Lepisosteus oculatus: one gene and its partner. The protein of the gene in region 2 interacts with the protein of the main gene of each other region in a biochemical or structural test. Links are inferred from orthologs where the notes say so. Each region holds a gene or a part of one and is shown on either strand. Other genes may lie near its edges.

Region 1 (7,890 bases), on a different chromosome or scaffold from region 2:
TCCACGCCATGTGACAGCTAGCGGCGACCTGGGAAGCCCTCTTACTTGACGTGTGAGAGTTGTCTGCTGTCTCTGCCACACGGTGCAGTTACCTCCTTAACAGCAGCAGTTCCCTGCCTCCGGCCCTGAAGGAGCACCGCCTGCTGGTCTTCACTCCAGCTGAGCTCTGCTCCTCCAGCACTGCTGCCTTCACTCATCTGCTTGAGCCTCTAGACTTTTCTTTTACGTGTTCCTTCAGTTTGTTCACAGGTGTCTGATTTACTGTGAGCATATCAGACACACCCACAGTGGGTGTGCGTATATCAGAAACAACCACAGTGGGAGTTGTTCTTTATCAGACATACCCACAATGAGCCTTTCTTCTGCAGCTCAAATCATATACATGTTCAGCAAACACAGCTCAATGAGGGCAGTTCTGAAAACAGTGCAGAATACAGATTTCAAATCCTATCTGGCCTCGTAAGAGCTAAGAGCAAATCTACAATCCTACCCCAGTCAGAGCCAGTGATGAAGATCTCGAATGGAGAGCAGACCAGAAGATTTGGGGTTCCTACAGGACCGGGGCAGCGAACCGTGACCGTGTGTGCGGAGGTGCAGGCTCTTCCTGTGCTGCACTGCGGGGCTCAGAGACTCGAGCTTACACAGCTTCCTTCTACCTCGGCACAGGATCTCCTCTTATCGATTGCTTTTCCTGTGTGGTTCAGACGGGGCACAGACAGGGAGAGGGGACCTGGGTGCATGTTACTGTGAAGGAGCCTCAGCGGACAGGAGTTTGCAAAGACTCTGCCCTTTTCGGGCCCAGCCGTTGGCCCGTTTGCACTGGTGTGCGAGTCAGTCTTTGAGCCCCGCGTGTGAGGAGGGTACCCTCTGATTGGACCTCGCAGTGGTCGACCCCCCCCCCCCAAAAAAAATAAAAAAACACTACACAGCAGCTGTATTCCAGTATTGTAACAAGCAGCACAATTTTGTAACACGTTGTTTTATAGAATTTTTGTAAGAACAAAATGCTTTTTTTTCAGAAGCCTTGTTGATGTGAAGCCAATGATTAAAACCTGTTTTTCTTCTTACCCTGCTGAGTTGTTTGGCTTGTTCTGTAGCAGTTCGCTCACCAAGGCAGACGTCCTCAGAAAAGGCTGGTAGGAAGAAGAAATTTGGGAAAAGAAATGCAAATCTGATCCTCCTTCCTTCCCAGTGACCCCATTCCCAGCAGGTAACACTGTGATCCGTGACTTCGATCTTGTCCACTGTCTGTCCGGGGGGTGAGGAAGAGGAACAGACTCCCAGCCACTTCTCCTTGACTCCAGAGGACATACGACAGACCAGACCTTCAGAGGTCATATGAACCCCATCACTTTGCTAAAGGAGCAGTTAACTATAAAACAGCTCGCAGTCAAGTTGGAACTCTTTTATTTCAACACTTAATTAAATAATTAGGACAAATTTAGATAGAACTAGATCCTCCAGGAACTGGGTTTAAGACCCCAGTAAATCTCAGAAGACATTACAGTCTCCAACACTGACTACAGTCTTCATCAATGTCACAGTGGGATAGGAAAGCGACCTGATTCTAGCAGCTGTGGGAATTCTGGGATTATATTTATTTAAGGGAAGAATGTCTAATTCTTGAGTGTTACTCATAGTGCAGTAGAAAGTGTATCTCCCTGCTGGCAGTAGGAGCACAGCCTGTCCTCACATTGTGTCCAGTTTCTGTCCCATCTGTGATCATTGAGCTTTCCTTTCTGGACAGCCCAGTTTGCCTGTGTCCAGTTTCTCTGTCCAGTCTGTGGTCCCTGAGCCTGTCCTCTCTGGACAGCGATGTCTGTCTGTGTCCAGTTTCGCTGTCCAGGAATCAGTGCAGTGCAATTGTAATACAATGAGCAATGTATCACCGAGTCGGTGGGACAGCTTTCTGTCAGCCCAGTCCTCTATATCTCCTTCAGGCTTCTCTTCACTTCTCTTCATCATTAAAAAAGGTCAGTAGCTAATTAGGTAATTAACGAACGCATGTTGTCTTTTTGTTTGCTAATATGCTCTCCAGTGTGCATTCCTAGACAGACTGCTAGCAAAGTATAACGCTGGACACTCGTCTTATTTTGTGTGTGTGAGCCTGTTGCAAACCTGGCCAAGGCCACCCTGGGCCAGAGCGCTGAGGAGTGTGATGACAGTGACAGTGTAGCCACTAGGGGTCGCTACAAGCACCTTTCATCCAGATCATCAGCCAATAGATAGCGGCACAGTGGCTCAGTTGTGAGTAGTGCTCCCTTGCAATGCTGGGGCCCTGCCTTCATTTCCTAGGGTGCTGTCTGCGTGGAGTTTGTATGTTCTCCTCGTGTTCGCATGGGTTTCCTCCAGGTGCTCCGGAGGTTTTTATCAAAATAACCTTTCACAAACACATCTCACAGTAGTAAACTTTCTAACAGATAATCAGACTCACATGACATAAAAACTTCCTCACTCAGGTGATTGTCTGTTATCAATCAGGGCAAGTGGATGGATTTACACAATGAAAGAGTCCCTCCAAGCCCTACCACTTGCTTTTGGCCATGCCATTTCCCTGTCCCGGCTCTGAAACTGCGGAGCAGGAGCTCAAGGAACAGGGATTTCCCAAAGTCCCTTCCAGCGCTCCGGAGGATTTGCTGGTAGATTAAGTGGCATATGGGAAAAATGCCCCTGGTGGGAATGTGTGTGTCCTGTGGTGGACTGGCGTCCCATCCAGGGTGTACCCTGCCTTGTACCCATTGCTTACTGTGTTAAGCTTCAGCTTCCCCGTGACCCTAGACTGGATAAGGCAGATTCAAAAATGGATGGATCTGTCAGGAGAATGTGGGAACTGTACATGGAGTTTGTTACAGGGCAGAGTCACCAGCTGTGATATTAGGCTGCACTGAAGAGAAGTGATAAGCTGGATGTGTGGGAGTTTAAGTGAGCTGGAAGGAGGCCAGAAACGTTCCTGGAATTTCACTGCACAGCACAGCATTGAGCACAGAAGTCCTCAGCAGCCATCTGTCCCATGGGGAGGCTGTATACGCACTGGAGGTGCATTTAAAACTAAGACCAGGAGGCACGTCTGTCCACCAAGGGCGGTGGGAGTGTGGAACAAGCCATATTTTGTAAACGGATACTTTGACTTCCACTCAGAAACGCCAGGATGAGATCCTGGGATCAATCACCAGATAACAAACAAAAGGGCCGGATGGTTGCCTCTCATTTGCCACCCGTCTCATGTTCTTGCACAAGGACACTGGGGAGTTCCTCCAGCAACCTTGTTGTGAAAGGCGCTAGAGAACAATAAATGGAATTGAATTGAGAGTTCGACTGGGGAACTGCCCGTCTCATCTGCTCATTTCAAAGTCCGTACTGCTCATCACCGCTCAAATCCAATGAAAAACAACAAAGCACATTAGAGTGCAGAGAATCACATAAAGAAGAGTGAAAGCACCCATTGCCGCTGAAGCCCTGATGTCTTCTGGGGGCAGCGACACCAGACCCTGTCACCCCCAGAGTGCTGATGAAACACAGGGGAGACACAGTAACCAGAATCAGCTGAGCAGAGGTCCCATGGAGGGGAGCCGACAGACAACACATCGACCGGGGAGACAAGCCACATAGAGCTCTGACCATCCAATCAAATCAAATCAAAGTTTATTTATCAAATGCACAACACTACAGCGTGCAGCAGTAGTTGCTGGCAATGATTTATTTTTTCTGTGAGCTCACAAAAATCACAAAAATGAGGTTATGAAAATAAGGTTACATAATAGATGTAATAGAAATTGAAACTCAATGAGTAGAGCTGCTATGTGTCCATGGTGCATGCAATATACACAAGTAGTGCAGTTATGCTGAATACAGTGAAATCTGTGTTAATGTAGCCATTACAGGTGATTCACATAATCAACTGAAAGCCAGAACAGGAGAGACACAGTAATATTACAACTCACAAAGCGTTGTATTAGTGGGTCCTGCCAGTGGGTTTTATCACAATTATTAAAAACAACGATCCTGTTTTGTTGGAGACAGAGACATGGACAAAGTCTCTATGGGAGCAGGGCTGGATGTGTCTCTGCTGGAGACCCCGTACTGACCGGACCGGGGCTGGAGACTCCTGTACTGACTGGACCGGGTCTCTTCAGTACCTGGGTTGAAGACTCTTATCATAATCTGCACATGTGAGAAATCGTTTCGGGCTGACGGCTGTATCACATCAGTCTTGTGTACTCTGTCCTCCTGTTCATTAGTGCAATGCGTGCGCACTCGCCGCGGTAGCCCTAAATAGAAGTTTCACCTCCGGAAATATCAGAGGAGGCAGAGAACAGTCTAACGTTTAATTAAAAAAATATATATTTACATAAAATTAACGTGTAACAGACTGCGAGCGTGCTACGGAAACCCCTAAATACTGAAGGCTTCATTAACCCCCAGAACCGGGGGAGCATTTTTTATTTAGGCACTGAAAATTCAGCCAACTTTAGGCACCCATCCGTTCGCTCCCTCACGGGTACCTACAGTCACACCAACTCTATCCAACAAACCATTTTCGATGCATTAATTTCTGCACCTCGGGTTAAAAACATCTATCCAAAGACACTAAGATCGTATTCCGAAGTGCGTAAACAAATTCGTGCGCTGTAATTGGGTGCTGCTGCTGTCCATCAAGAGGCAGTACCGCCTCTCTTCCCGAACGGTAAATTTTGACTGGCTGTTGCGAGAAGAGTAAATAATAATACAGTTTTGTAGGGCGATGATGTCACGGGAGTCGAGGCGGGAACCTTTGCTTTCCTTAGGCGAGCGAACAGCTCTCCCACCGGAAGGCTCCGATTGGTCGGCGGCGCTGTCGTTCCAGGCGAGCGGTTGGCTAACGCGGCTGTCCGTCAGTGACGGCGGGCGGGGCCAGGGCGGCTGTCAGGTTGTCGAGCCGTTCTTCCGTCTGCTGGCTGCGGAAACGAGAGAAAGAGAGAGAGAGGGGAGGAGGGGAACAACCCGAGCGAGCGAGTGTGTAAGTCTGCGAGCGACAACGGCAGCGAAGGAGGAGGGCGCATTCTTAAAATAATCAAGAATAAAAATACTCAGCCGGTCGGCGATGGGGGACAAGGCGGGAACCAGGTAAGGGAGACATTTCCTACCCCCGCAGCGCTTCGTGCGCCGAGCCGCCGCCGTGGAGCGGAGCTGGAGGGGAGTTTAAATCGCCAGGGCGGGTGCGACGGTGCGCTTCGCGGTGGTACTGCCGTGGACGTTCAAGCGAAAGAAGGCAACCCCCCCGCGCGCGCACACCCTCGAGAAAGGGAGTGAAAATGAGCCGCTGAGATTCCTGTTCGCTAGCGCGCTGCGGAAGAGACGTGAACACGACACGGTAGCCGTGGGTGGCTGGTGTGGCGCGGAATCCTTAATAATAACATTAATAATGTCGCTGCCCGCCCGTGTCTCCTCTGGACTGTGTCCCTCACAGCGCCTCCGTCCTGCTGCCGTTGGGGTCGTGGCTCTCTAGGTGAGGAGCTGCGTGTTTTTTTTTGTGTGTCACCTGCGTGTCTGTGGCGAGACTGGCTGGCGTGACCTCAAGCAAACGCCTTCGTCCGTGTTCCTCCAGCGCCTGGGAAGATAGAGTATCGGCTACGTGGGGTGGAAATGTGAAAGGTTGGGTTCCCGGTGCTGGTGGCCGCGCTGTGCCCGTCTCCTTGTGATCTCCTTGCGATGTCGTGACGTGGTGTTTGACGTGTAGTTTACATTTCGATACCCACGCACACGGACATGTATGCGGGAGTGTGCGTCTTTATAAACAGGCGCATGCAGCTGCACATCCCTCGGCAAGGGGCGGTTCTGTTTAGGGGTTTTGTTTTCCTCTCTACGACGGAAATCGCTCCGGGTCCGTGTCTCGCAAGAGAGGAACCAACTATAAAAACCCGGCAGCTCCAGCAGTCTGCGCTGCGCCCGGGGCTGCCTGGCGTCCTGACGTGCCGCCCGAGAGAGATGGGGACCGTGTGTATCTGTCTCTCCCCCGCATCCGCAGTATTCACCTCATCAGAGAAAATTGGATTCTCTTCTGCATTTCCCTCTAGTGTTCTTGCGTGTCCGTGACGGGGGTGGAAAGGAGGGTAGAGAGAGGTGGCCTCTTTCTCTCCAGGCGCGTCCGTGAGGGTCTGTGGAAAGGTCTGCTGTTCTTCGGGTTACCAGCGGTCCAGCTGTGAGGACCGCTCAGGAGGACCCGTGAGATAGGGGCACAGTCGGCCCCGGGTGGGGGATGAGATCGCTGGGGTCTCTGCTCTTCCTCGTGCGTGAAGAGGCTGTGGATCCGGTCCGGGAGGTTTGGGCACAGCCTCGGTGCTCCGGGCCGGAGAGCAGGGGATGTTCCTCATCTTTCCCAGGAAGGGCTCGGGGGAGAGGGCCGTGGGTGTGTATATGGGGGGGTGTCTGTGGTTTTCCAGGCCCGGCTCACCTGGCTGCTGATTTGAATTCCAAATCAAGTTTGCGGAGGAGGGAAAGATCCACCTGTGAAGTAGGAGGCAGAGTAGATGCTGGGGGCTGTGATGAGGAAAGTGCTATCAGAGCTTCCCCAGTACTGGTCTGGGGGGGTCAGTGTGTCTGCAGGGTGTCCAGTCCTGGTCCTGGAGGGTCAGTGTGTCTGCAGGGTGTCCAGTCCTGGTCCTGGAGGGTCAGTGTGTCTGCAGGGTGTCCAGTCCTGGTCCTGGAGGGTCAGTGTGTCTGCAGGGTGTCCAGTCCTGGTCTTGGGGGGTCATTGTGTCTGCAGGGTGTCCAGTCCTGGTCCTGGAGGGTCAGTGTGTCTGAAGGTGTCCAGTCCTGGTCCTGGAGGGTCAGTGTGTCTGCAGGGTGTCCAGTCCTGGTCTTGGGGGGTCATTGTGTCTGCAGGGTGTCCAGTCCTGGTCCTGGGAGGTCAGTGTGTCCAGTCCTGGTCTTGGGGGGTCAGTGTGTCTGCAGGGTGTCCAGTCCTGGTCTTGGGGGGTCATTGTGTCTGCAGGTGTCTAGTCCTGGTCCTGAGGGGTCAGTGTGTCCAGTCCTGGTCTTGGGGGGTCAGTGTGTCTGCAGGGTGTCCAGTCCTGGTCCTGGGGGTCAGTGTGTCTGCAGGGTGTCCAGTCCTGGTCCTGGGAGGTCAGTGTGTCCAGTCCTGGTCTTGGGGGGTCAGTGTGTCTGCAGGGTGTCCAGTCCTGGTCTTGGGGGGTCATTGTGTCTGCAGGTGTCTAGTCCTGGTCCTGAGGGGTCAGTGTGTCCAGTCCTGGTCTTGGGGGGTCAGTGTGTCTGCAGGGTGTCCAGTCCTGGTCCTGGGGGTCAGTGTGTCTGCAGGGTGTCCAGTCCTGGTCCTGGGGGTCAGTGTGTCTGCAGGTGTCCAGTCCTGGTCCTGGGTGGTCAGTGTGTCTGCAGGGTGTCCAGTCCTGGTCCTGAGGTTGTCAATTAACTACATTACAAAGGGAGATTGGGCTTTCTCTATCAGAGCCCCTAGAATCTGGAACAGTCTTCCTTTAAAATTAGGACAGCAAATGGGTTTCTAAATGAGATTTAAAAGACTAAAACCAATTTTTATAGGCTTGAGGCAATAGTGTTAAAAATACTGATTTTGATCTTTGTCAGATACACCCATGTTGCCTAGTGCACAGTCTTGTTCAGATTTTGTCCATGTTAAGAGTGGGACTAAAGTACATTATCTTTTGCATTTGTATCATGTGCTGGTTCCTTATCATATTCTGTGCGTGTTGATAATGTTAAGAACTGCAGCAATATGTCCGCTGTGTATGTGCGTTTCCTTGTTTTAATCAGGATTGTTAGTACGTTTCTTAAATTTACCTCCTAACAATGCATTCATTTTATTAGTGTTTTAATGAGAAACACTTTGTGCTGTAGAGCTGGAAATGTTCTGTTTAAGTAAAGTCATAACTGATTATT
Region 2 (7,728 bases):
TCTGGAGGCACATCCGTCTTTTCTAATCTTCGCCTCGCACTGACGGAGATCGAACACTTACAGCTCTCCATTCAAACACTCATTCCTCAAGCGATGCTTCTATACCAACAGGCACGTTGGCGACACTGGGGCCTCTGAACGCAACCTTACTCGTCTCCCATTCCCACAGAAAACGTTTTCGGTCTGAACACAACAGTCTCTGTAGCCAACACAAAAGCACCATAGCACAGCCTAGTTTCGAGAACACAACCTACATCAATATGAAGCCCCGTATTAAGGATCAAACCTGATACAGAGTCAGGATTGTTATTCTCAGTTTTGGATACACGTCATCAATTAAGAAAACTAATTCACAAGATAATCATATTATTCCTTATGGATATCAGTTCTCCTGATAAACTGCATTATTTAGGAACAAAACCAGGACTGAGAACGTGGATTCTGTGAGTTTCGTGTGTGGCAGGAATGCTTATCAGAGCCACTAAGTGTTATCGCTTCAATCAATGGAGCAGCTCAGCTGTAAAGGCACCGCGCAGTAAGACAACAGGGTGGGACACAGATGTGTCTGTGTGTGCGCAGAGCAGGGCTGGGCGCGGAATCAGGATGCAGAGCATGAAGGAGGCATGCAACAGTGATGAGAGAGCAGCCGCAGTGTGAAACCGAGCCCCGAAACACCAGGGTCGTGATCTTATCTGCGGCTGTACAAAGCCCAGTGGCTCCCTGTTGCATGAAGGGTCTCTCCTGGCCTTCCCCCCCGCCCGCCGCAAAACAGTCCCCAGGACGAAGCGCCAGCCCAGCGCCGGACCCCTTACCTGTGGGAGGGAGCTGTAGAGCGAAAGAGGGAGCTCCCCGACCCGCAGCGCCACGGTCTTCAGGGACGACTGGGAGTTGACGTTACTAAGCGCGTCTTCAGTCATGCTCCCCGTCTCCCATAATCCCCCCCGAGCAGCCGTTTACCCCATGCCCATCGCGGCCTCCGCTGCTGCTTAAAGGACAGCTCCTGGACGAGGGGAAACAGCCCGAAGACAGATATCTGAGCGCCGACTGCTCATCATCCGGCACCAGGCGCGCTACTGTCTGACCTCCAGCTGTAGCACATAACAGTGCCAACCGCAGTACCGAAACCGCCTCAGCAGAGAGACCGGCGCACTACCACTACTATATCACTATCATCACTACCTGCCAAAACAGGCTAGAAGAGCCAAACAGGTCTCCTCTCGTTTGTCAGGATTCTTCGGTTCTTATTCGAAGCCCATTTTGACCTGAGACCATTTTCGCTTTTCAAAAAACGATATTTTATCTTGTTTCCTCCCTCCTCCCTCCCCCCTTTGCTAGAACAAAGACCGATCTGCATACATATAAACGCACGATCAGCCCCTCGTGTCCCTCAACTGTCCCTCCCCAGCCCAGAGCAGGTGCTGACGGGACAGCGATCTCGCAGGCTGCGTTCGGCAGACTGCTCGCAAACATACCTGACCTGATTCATAGGCCCTACTTTTGAGCAGGTTTCCCTTCCCAAATGTGCCTGTGCACCAACAGGCCTCTCCCCCTCCTCGGGATAGGGACACTCCACCGCCCTCGTGCGCAGCGAGGCGAAGCAACGCCGCCCGGATTCAGCTCGCTAACTAACTGACTGACTAAGGGCTGTGCCACTCGGGAGAGCCCATCGGGAGGGCGGAGCGTTGGTTCTGTGGCTGGGAGGTTGCCAGTTCGTATCCCGCGGCCGGCAGAGGAATCCTACTCCATTGGGCCCCTGATCAAGGCCCTTCACCCCAGCTGCTCCAGGGGCGCCGTATAAATGGCCGACCCTGCGCTCTGACCCCCTGCTTCTCTCCCCGTCTATCTGATCTCCGTGCTCAAGGGCTGCCCTCCAGCAGGATTCACACACCTCTTTAAACCCCCATCTTCTCGGGACAAGGAGGGGCTTCAGCTTTGGCCCATTAAGCAAATAACGAGCTCAAATAACGTGTAAGGAACCCCAGGAACATTGTGGGCCCCCCAGGACTGGAGCTGTACCCCCCTGAGCACAACTGCCAACCGTTCAGCTCCGTATGCGTCTGCGATGCAAAAGGACCTCATGGCTGATCACAGCACCAGACTGGGGCTAGAAAGCTTATCAACAAGACGATTAGGTAGGCGCTGGTCTTTAAGGCTCATTAGTCCCCCCCGCTGAAAAACCTGTGAGGTGAACGAGAGCACGTGGCACAAGGGGGAGACCTGGAGCTCCTACCTGCACAGAGAACCTGCCCTTTCGACATTTACTGCTCACCTGTGGGTCTGTTATTCACACATTCCCTGGAAGAAAAATTCGAAACGCTTGTTCGTTGACCTAGTTAACTCTCCTTTGGACGGAAGATTTCGAATGAAAGATTTCAAACAATACAGCTTAAGTCTATAACATATAGATATATAAGCGTTAATTCTCAAACTAAATTTCAAGTGGCAGAATGTCAAACGAAAAATCATAAAACGAACTAGGACTGTTAGGGGCTATAATTACTGTAGCTCCGTGCGGCTTTTACCAGCAAAATGGGCTTAACAAAATTGCAATAACCCTGCGCTGTGCAATCAACAAAAACGATATCAACTACCATATCTGCAGACGGCAGCATGCACTTACGCAAATTCAACACAAAGAAATAAACCATTGTGTACTACTGCCAATGTCGGTTCGGGTTTCATAATAAACAACGGTTAACAAAACTGATGATACATTTAAATCGCTTGCCGGCACCAGCGATAAACCTAATTCCAGTAATAGCCGAACCCTAAAACGTGTGAAATCTGTGCGTTTGATTCGTTTACAAGTCAAAGGAAGGCAGGTGCACAATAGGAGTAGTTCAGGCAGCTCGCTTTCAAAGCAGTAGCTACTGGGGGGATACATTTGACAATCAGGGCGCTGGGGAGCCCCCCCAAAAAAAAACATTTTGCAATTGCAACATGCAGTTTTGCCTGTACTGTTACTGTCAGGAAGAAAAACGACACCCCCCGCCACCACCACACGCATACACACCGCCCCGGTCCCTATACCAGAGACTAGCAGTCGCCAGTACACCTTACTGATGAGACCAGAGCCTTACCGTCAGTTTAATAGCGCGGTCTTCACGGCAGCAGCCAAATGCCGGAGTTTCAAGACGAGGAAACCTACCTACCTACCCACCCTCCCGAGCTGCTACCAGAAATCGCTAATTAAGCCTCACGGTTCAATTGCAACAGCGAGTGAATGAGTGCCGCCTGCAGCCTGACGGAGCAACTTGTCGGCGCTGGGAACTGCTTCCTGGGTCAGAGAACAGCCTTGCAGCAGCCTCAGGGCTGTGCTGAGATTGCATCTGTGTGGGCGACACCCTTGTGCGCCCACCAGCCTCGCATCTATTGTTGCAATCGCCTTCATACTCATTTGAAATGTCCAGAAATTCCTCCCCCCTTCTCCTTTTCCGAAGTATGAGCCGATGCGCGATGGAATTGGCAAATTCTCAGACTCGCCTCACAAAACACCAGCCCAAAGAGGAAATTCAGTAAGACTATGACAGAGAGACACGCTGTCTGATGGTAGTCATTTTCATTACCAGTAGACGTTAATTTCTTGAGCATCTTAAACCAATAAATAGCAGTTCAGACCATGAGAAACCCTTTGCTAATTTCTACTGGAACCCAATGGAAATTGCACCAGGAATCTTCTAGTGGGGATCCTGTCAAATGTAACTGCTGCTTAAACTTTAAATTGGGGGTTAGCTCATTCTACCTGATTTCTGTGTTTAAAAATGTAAAAACTGAAACTCTGTTACAGGGGAGGAACAATCAATTATTATCAGCATTGCCATTACTGCTAGAATATAAAGTAATTTGTTTTCCACCAATCTATAAATCTGTTAATCATAATAATTCATTTATAATATTAAGAATTGATTTCTGCAACATGCTAGACTGCAGAAAATTTCTGAATCCATTTTTATATCAGTTCTGAAGGGTCCCACAAATTATTTTTCCAGAAAATATTCACTTATTTGTAGCATTATTTAATAAATACATATTTAATTGTTTTTGTATGATAGTCCATATCCTACAAATACATACGGCGCAAGCTTTTGTAAAATAGATGTTCAGGACAAATTCAAACTTTCAGGCATGCTGAAACCATTGTGGACAAATTTCTTAACAATCAGGGATAAAAAAGATATCAGAGGGAAGTATTTGGCAACAAATTAAAAAAGCCACAAAATATATAATTTTAAGAAGAGGAAAAGCATTCAAAAATTAAATAAAAACATAATAATTAAATAGAGAGATCAAAGTACAGTTAAGAGTCTTCATTAAAAATATTTCATTATACCTTTCTGGTGTTTTTGTTTTAAATATGGTACAATTTAATTGAGCAGGAAGTCCTAGCAGAACTAGAAAATGGAGCAGCTACAGACACTAAAATTAAGTTAAATTATATGATGTTTGATTTCACTATTTATGGGGTTTAGTTGTTTTTATTAGCATTCAATACCCCTCAAGGAGACTAGAGTGGTTGTTTGTTTCCAGAGGGTGTAGTTCACCGCTCTGCCACCGGGGGGCACTGGGGCTGTGGGTGCGCCACCGTTCGCTCCCGCCGGCCTGTGTCATTGCTTGCCCAGTGCGCCGCCCTTCCCGGGCAGGAAAAGCCGTGCGGCCAGGGCCCGCTAGGCGGCGCTGCGGCGATCGTGCGAGCCTACTTTCCACGGTGCAGAACCGGAAGGAGCTGCCCCGCGGGCATCGGCCGCCGAAGTAGTGGAGCAGGAGGAGCAGGAGCAGCAGCGACCTGGGAGCTGAGCGCTGGTCGAGTACGAGGCACATTTCTCCGAAAATGTAAAGGATATACAGTAACGCCGCTGCCTTTCTGACGGGAGTAACTACACCCCGCCTCCCCCCGACCCTCAACGTTTCCTTTGAGAAGGTAGGCTGGAAACGGTGTTTGCAGTCGGTTGCGTTGGCCAGGCATTTTCTAGAATGTCACTGTTTCGGGGGGATATTTAATTTCATCATGGCTGGGTGAAGAAACATACATTTCTGCCGGGGGGGGGTGGGGGTGCGGCTCTTCTGGAGCCAAATTGTTCGCAGGAGCGCGGAGGCGACCGGTGCTTGGCTGGAACTTGCTCATTTATTCTCGGCTGCGAGTAGCTGTCACTCCAGCCCCCCCGGATATCGGAGAAGTGACTTTTGTCTAGGTTGTCTGGGTCGTTTCCATCGAAAACCAGAGCAAAAGCAACAACCACCCAACCAACCGCGCAAAAAAGCAGCTTTATCTACCGATATCGTTTGCACCTCGGTTTACATTGTGCAGCTCTCGTTACGCAGTTACTCAGCCGCACCTCATGAGGGTTTGTGGATGTTTTTTTTTTTGTAGCGAATTAAGGCCAGCCCTCCGCCGAAATGGCCAGATGTCAGGCGGTGAGACAAGCCAAGCCTCCCCGTTATTGTGCAGGGTTTTTCGTGTGCCCTGGTCTTGTTCAGCCCGGTGTTTTGAAGGAGCTGGTAGTGATGGTTAACTGAAGGGGTGTGCGCACCTGTTAGGAGACGCATCGTGCAGTTCGCGTCACTGCGTTTCCTGAGCATGAGCGGCCCTGCAACGCAACGCATTCACATTTCACTAGGAATCCCGTCATTCCGGGACCTTCATTTTTTTTTTTAATTGCAATATTATTGCAGCAGTGTCGCTGCGGGAACGCGTGGTTCTTGGGTTTAAAGGTGGGCACGTCACGTTGGGGTCAGGTTTACAATGCTTACAAATGCCGGCGCTCTGGAGCGCCCTCATGCCAGGGGGGTTTCGTCTGAATCTGTTTAAAAAAAAAACCCACCTGCGTGTCTGAAAGTGAAATATCATGAGCAGTCTTATCAGTTGAATGTGCCTTATCTAGATAAAGCTTGGTCTCATTCATAAAAATAATTATTCTTCTTTCAATAATAATAATAATAATAACAACCATCTTATTGATGATATTTCTTAATAATCCATCATAAATGCGTGCTGGTTGAGTATTCTGTGTGTTACTGTTGCAGTATGTGCATCCTTGTCTTTCTGAAAACGGTAATAAAACCAGCACTATAACTCACAAATGTGTTCGCTGCTGGCAGGAAGTTTAGAAAGTAAAATCGTTATGTTTAAGTATCACATTGAAAGTCTATAAGATGTTGGCACTCTGTCAGCTGTGTTACCATCGGTATGCAAGCCAGAAGTGCCTTGAGAAAACTGTTTCTTGCCACTCTGCTCAGAGGATAAATTCGCAGTTCAAGAAAATGTTATATAATCTGAAAGTGCAACGTGTTTAATATTTTAACAGTAGGGAATCACTCAGGTTTCAGAAAGTTCCTTAGCATTAAAAGAAAACTGACTTCAGTACTTTAGTGCAGGGGCTTGTGGTTCTGGGGATCGCACTGGCGTTCGTTTCCATTCCAGCTGAGCTCGTTACGTAATTGAATCCTTTAATTGACCCAGCACATTGCTCGATTGGAACCTTTTTGACTCTGTGCAAGTTGGAGATCCTCTGTGTGACCCATGAATCACAAGAGTTAAAAGGGAGCTTCCAATACGTCTGGGGACTGAGAGCATTTAAAGAGGGGAAAGTGTACCTCTTACTAGGTCAATTAAGGGTTCATGCAACTGAGAGCTCAGTCAGCAGGTGCATAGGTCCCCAGGATTAGCGTGGGAACCCCTGTATTGGTGTCATGTTTGTGTTTGGACGTGCATCTCTCTCCCATGAGGCAGCCACTTATTTTTTAACCAAGTCTTGCAGCCGCAGGCTTTTAAAAGCACCCGAGCGCTGACAAGGTATGAAGTACGGTATCAGTATGCTTTAAAGGTCATGATTTTGCACTGAAACGGCAGCCGATAAAACATTAGGAAAACAGCCACGCGCTGCTTAGATCGTTGAACAGCCCATACTAAGGTGTTCTAGGAAATACTATTAAACTATTACTCATCATCAATGTGTGAAAAATGAAAGATGTTACTGTCAGTGCATTTGAAAGTGTATTTGGAGGCTTAAGTTTGTATTAAACGGGCAAGTGTAGAGAGTTGAGTAGTACAGAAGAAGAGGGAAGAGTTATCAATGAAAGAAGCAGAATCGTGCTTCTGGAGAACACTTGCCCCTGTTGGATTGTTTTGTGGGTTCCCTGTGTGGTTCCGTGTTTACCCTGAAGTCATCGGATCAGAGGGCTGTGGATGCTGATTTGCTGAGCCATCCGTTGTGTTAAATTGCCATAATTGGGATTGCTTTTGAACAGCAGCAGCACTGGAGTGCCGGGGTACTCAAGGACAGTCTTACAGCCTTTAATTGAAATTTTGTGTTTTTCCTCTTGTGGCTTTATTTTGAATTGATTGCATTAACAAGCAATTCAACTGTTAGATACTCTAATTATATTGGAATAAAAAAAAACTGCTTTAGCTGATTTGGTCATATAAGGTATGAAATGTTCTTTTTTTGGCTACAGAAAACCCTCCATGTGAGTGAGGCTGGGTGTCTGTTCATTTCATGCCTCTTCTAAAGTGGCAGAGGGTCATTATGATTCATTCCAACAATTAATTCAGGTGTGCCCTTGTCAGTTAGGTGACACTGTGCACTACTTATGTAAATTAGCTCTGTTCTCCTAAATTGTGCATTTTTTTTTTATTCATGCACTACAGTGGTGATTTCAGGGCTCAAGTGTCACCCACTGTGAAGGTCAAGTGAGCATCCTCTGATTGTGCTGCTTTAAAGTAGAGGGCAG

What was found.
Region 1: of the proteins of usp33 (region 2) and arrb2a, one has a biochemical effect on the other in vitro, tested with the Homo sapiens proteins (2 studies listed by BioGRID, with this or other methods). The link is inferred for Lepisosteus oculatus from reciprocal best matches to the Homo sapiens genes USP33 and ARRB2.

The regions. Positions count from the first base shown.
Region 1 is NC_090698.1:12,348,698-12,356,587, reverse strand, and holds the start of arrb2a (arrestin, beta 2a), read left to right. Parts: upstream 1-4,881; 5' UTR 4,882-5,080; coding exon 5,081-5,103; intron 5,104-5,123; exon of another isoform or gene 5,124-5,782; intron 5,783-7,890. UniProt on the Homo sapiens protein: Functions in regulating agonist-mediated G-protein coupled receptor (GPCR) signaling by mediating both receptor desensitization and resensitization processes.
Region 2 is NC_090704.1:3,776,549-3,784,276, forward strand, and holds the start of usp33 (ubiquitin carboxyl-terminal hydrolase 33), read left to right. Parts: upstream 1-4,714; 5' UTR 4,715-4,918; intron 4,919-7,728. Other genes in the region: miga1 (mitoguardin 1), read right to left, coding at 813-917. UniProt on the Homo sapiens protein: Deubiquitinating enzyme involved in various processes such as centrosome duplication, cellular migration and beta-2 adrenergic receptor/ADRB2 recycling.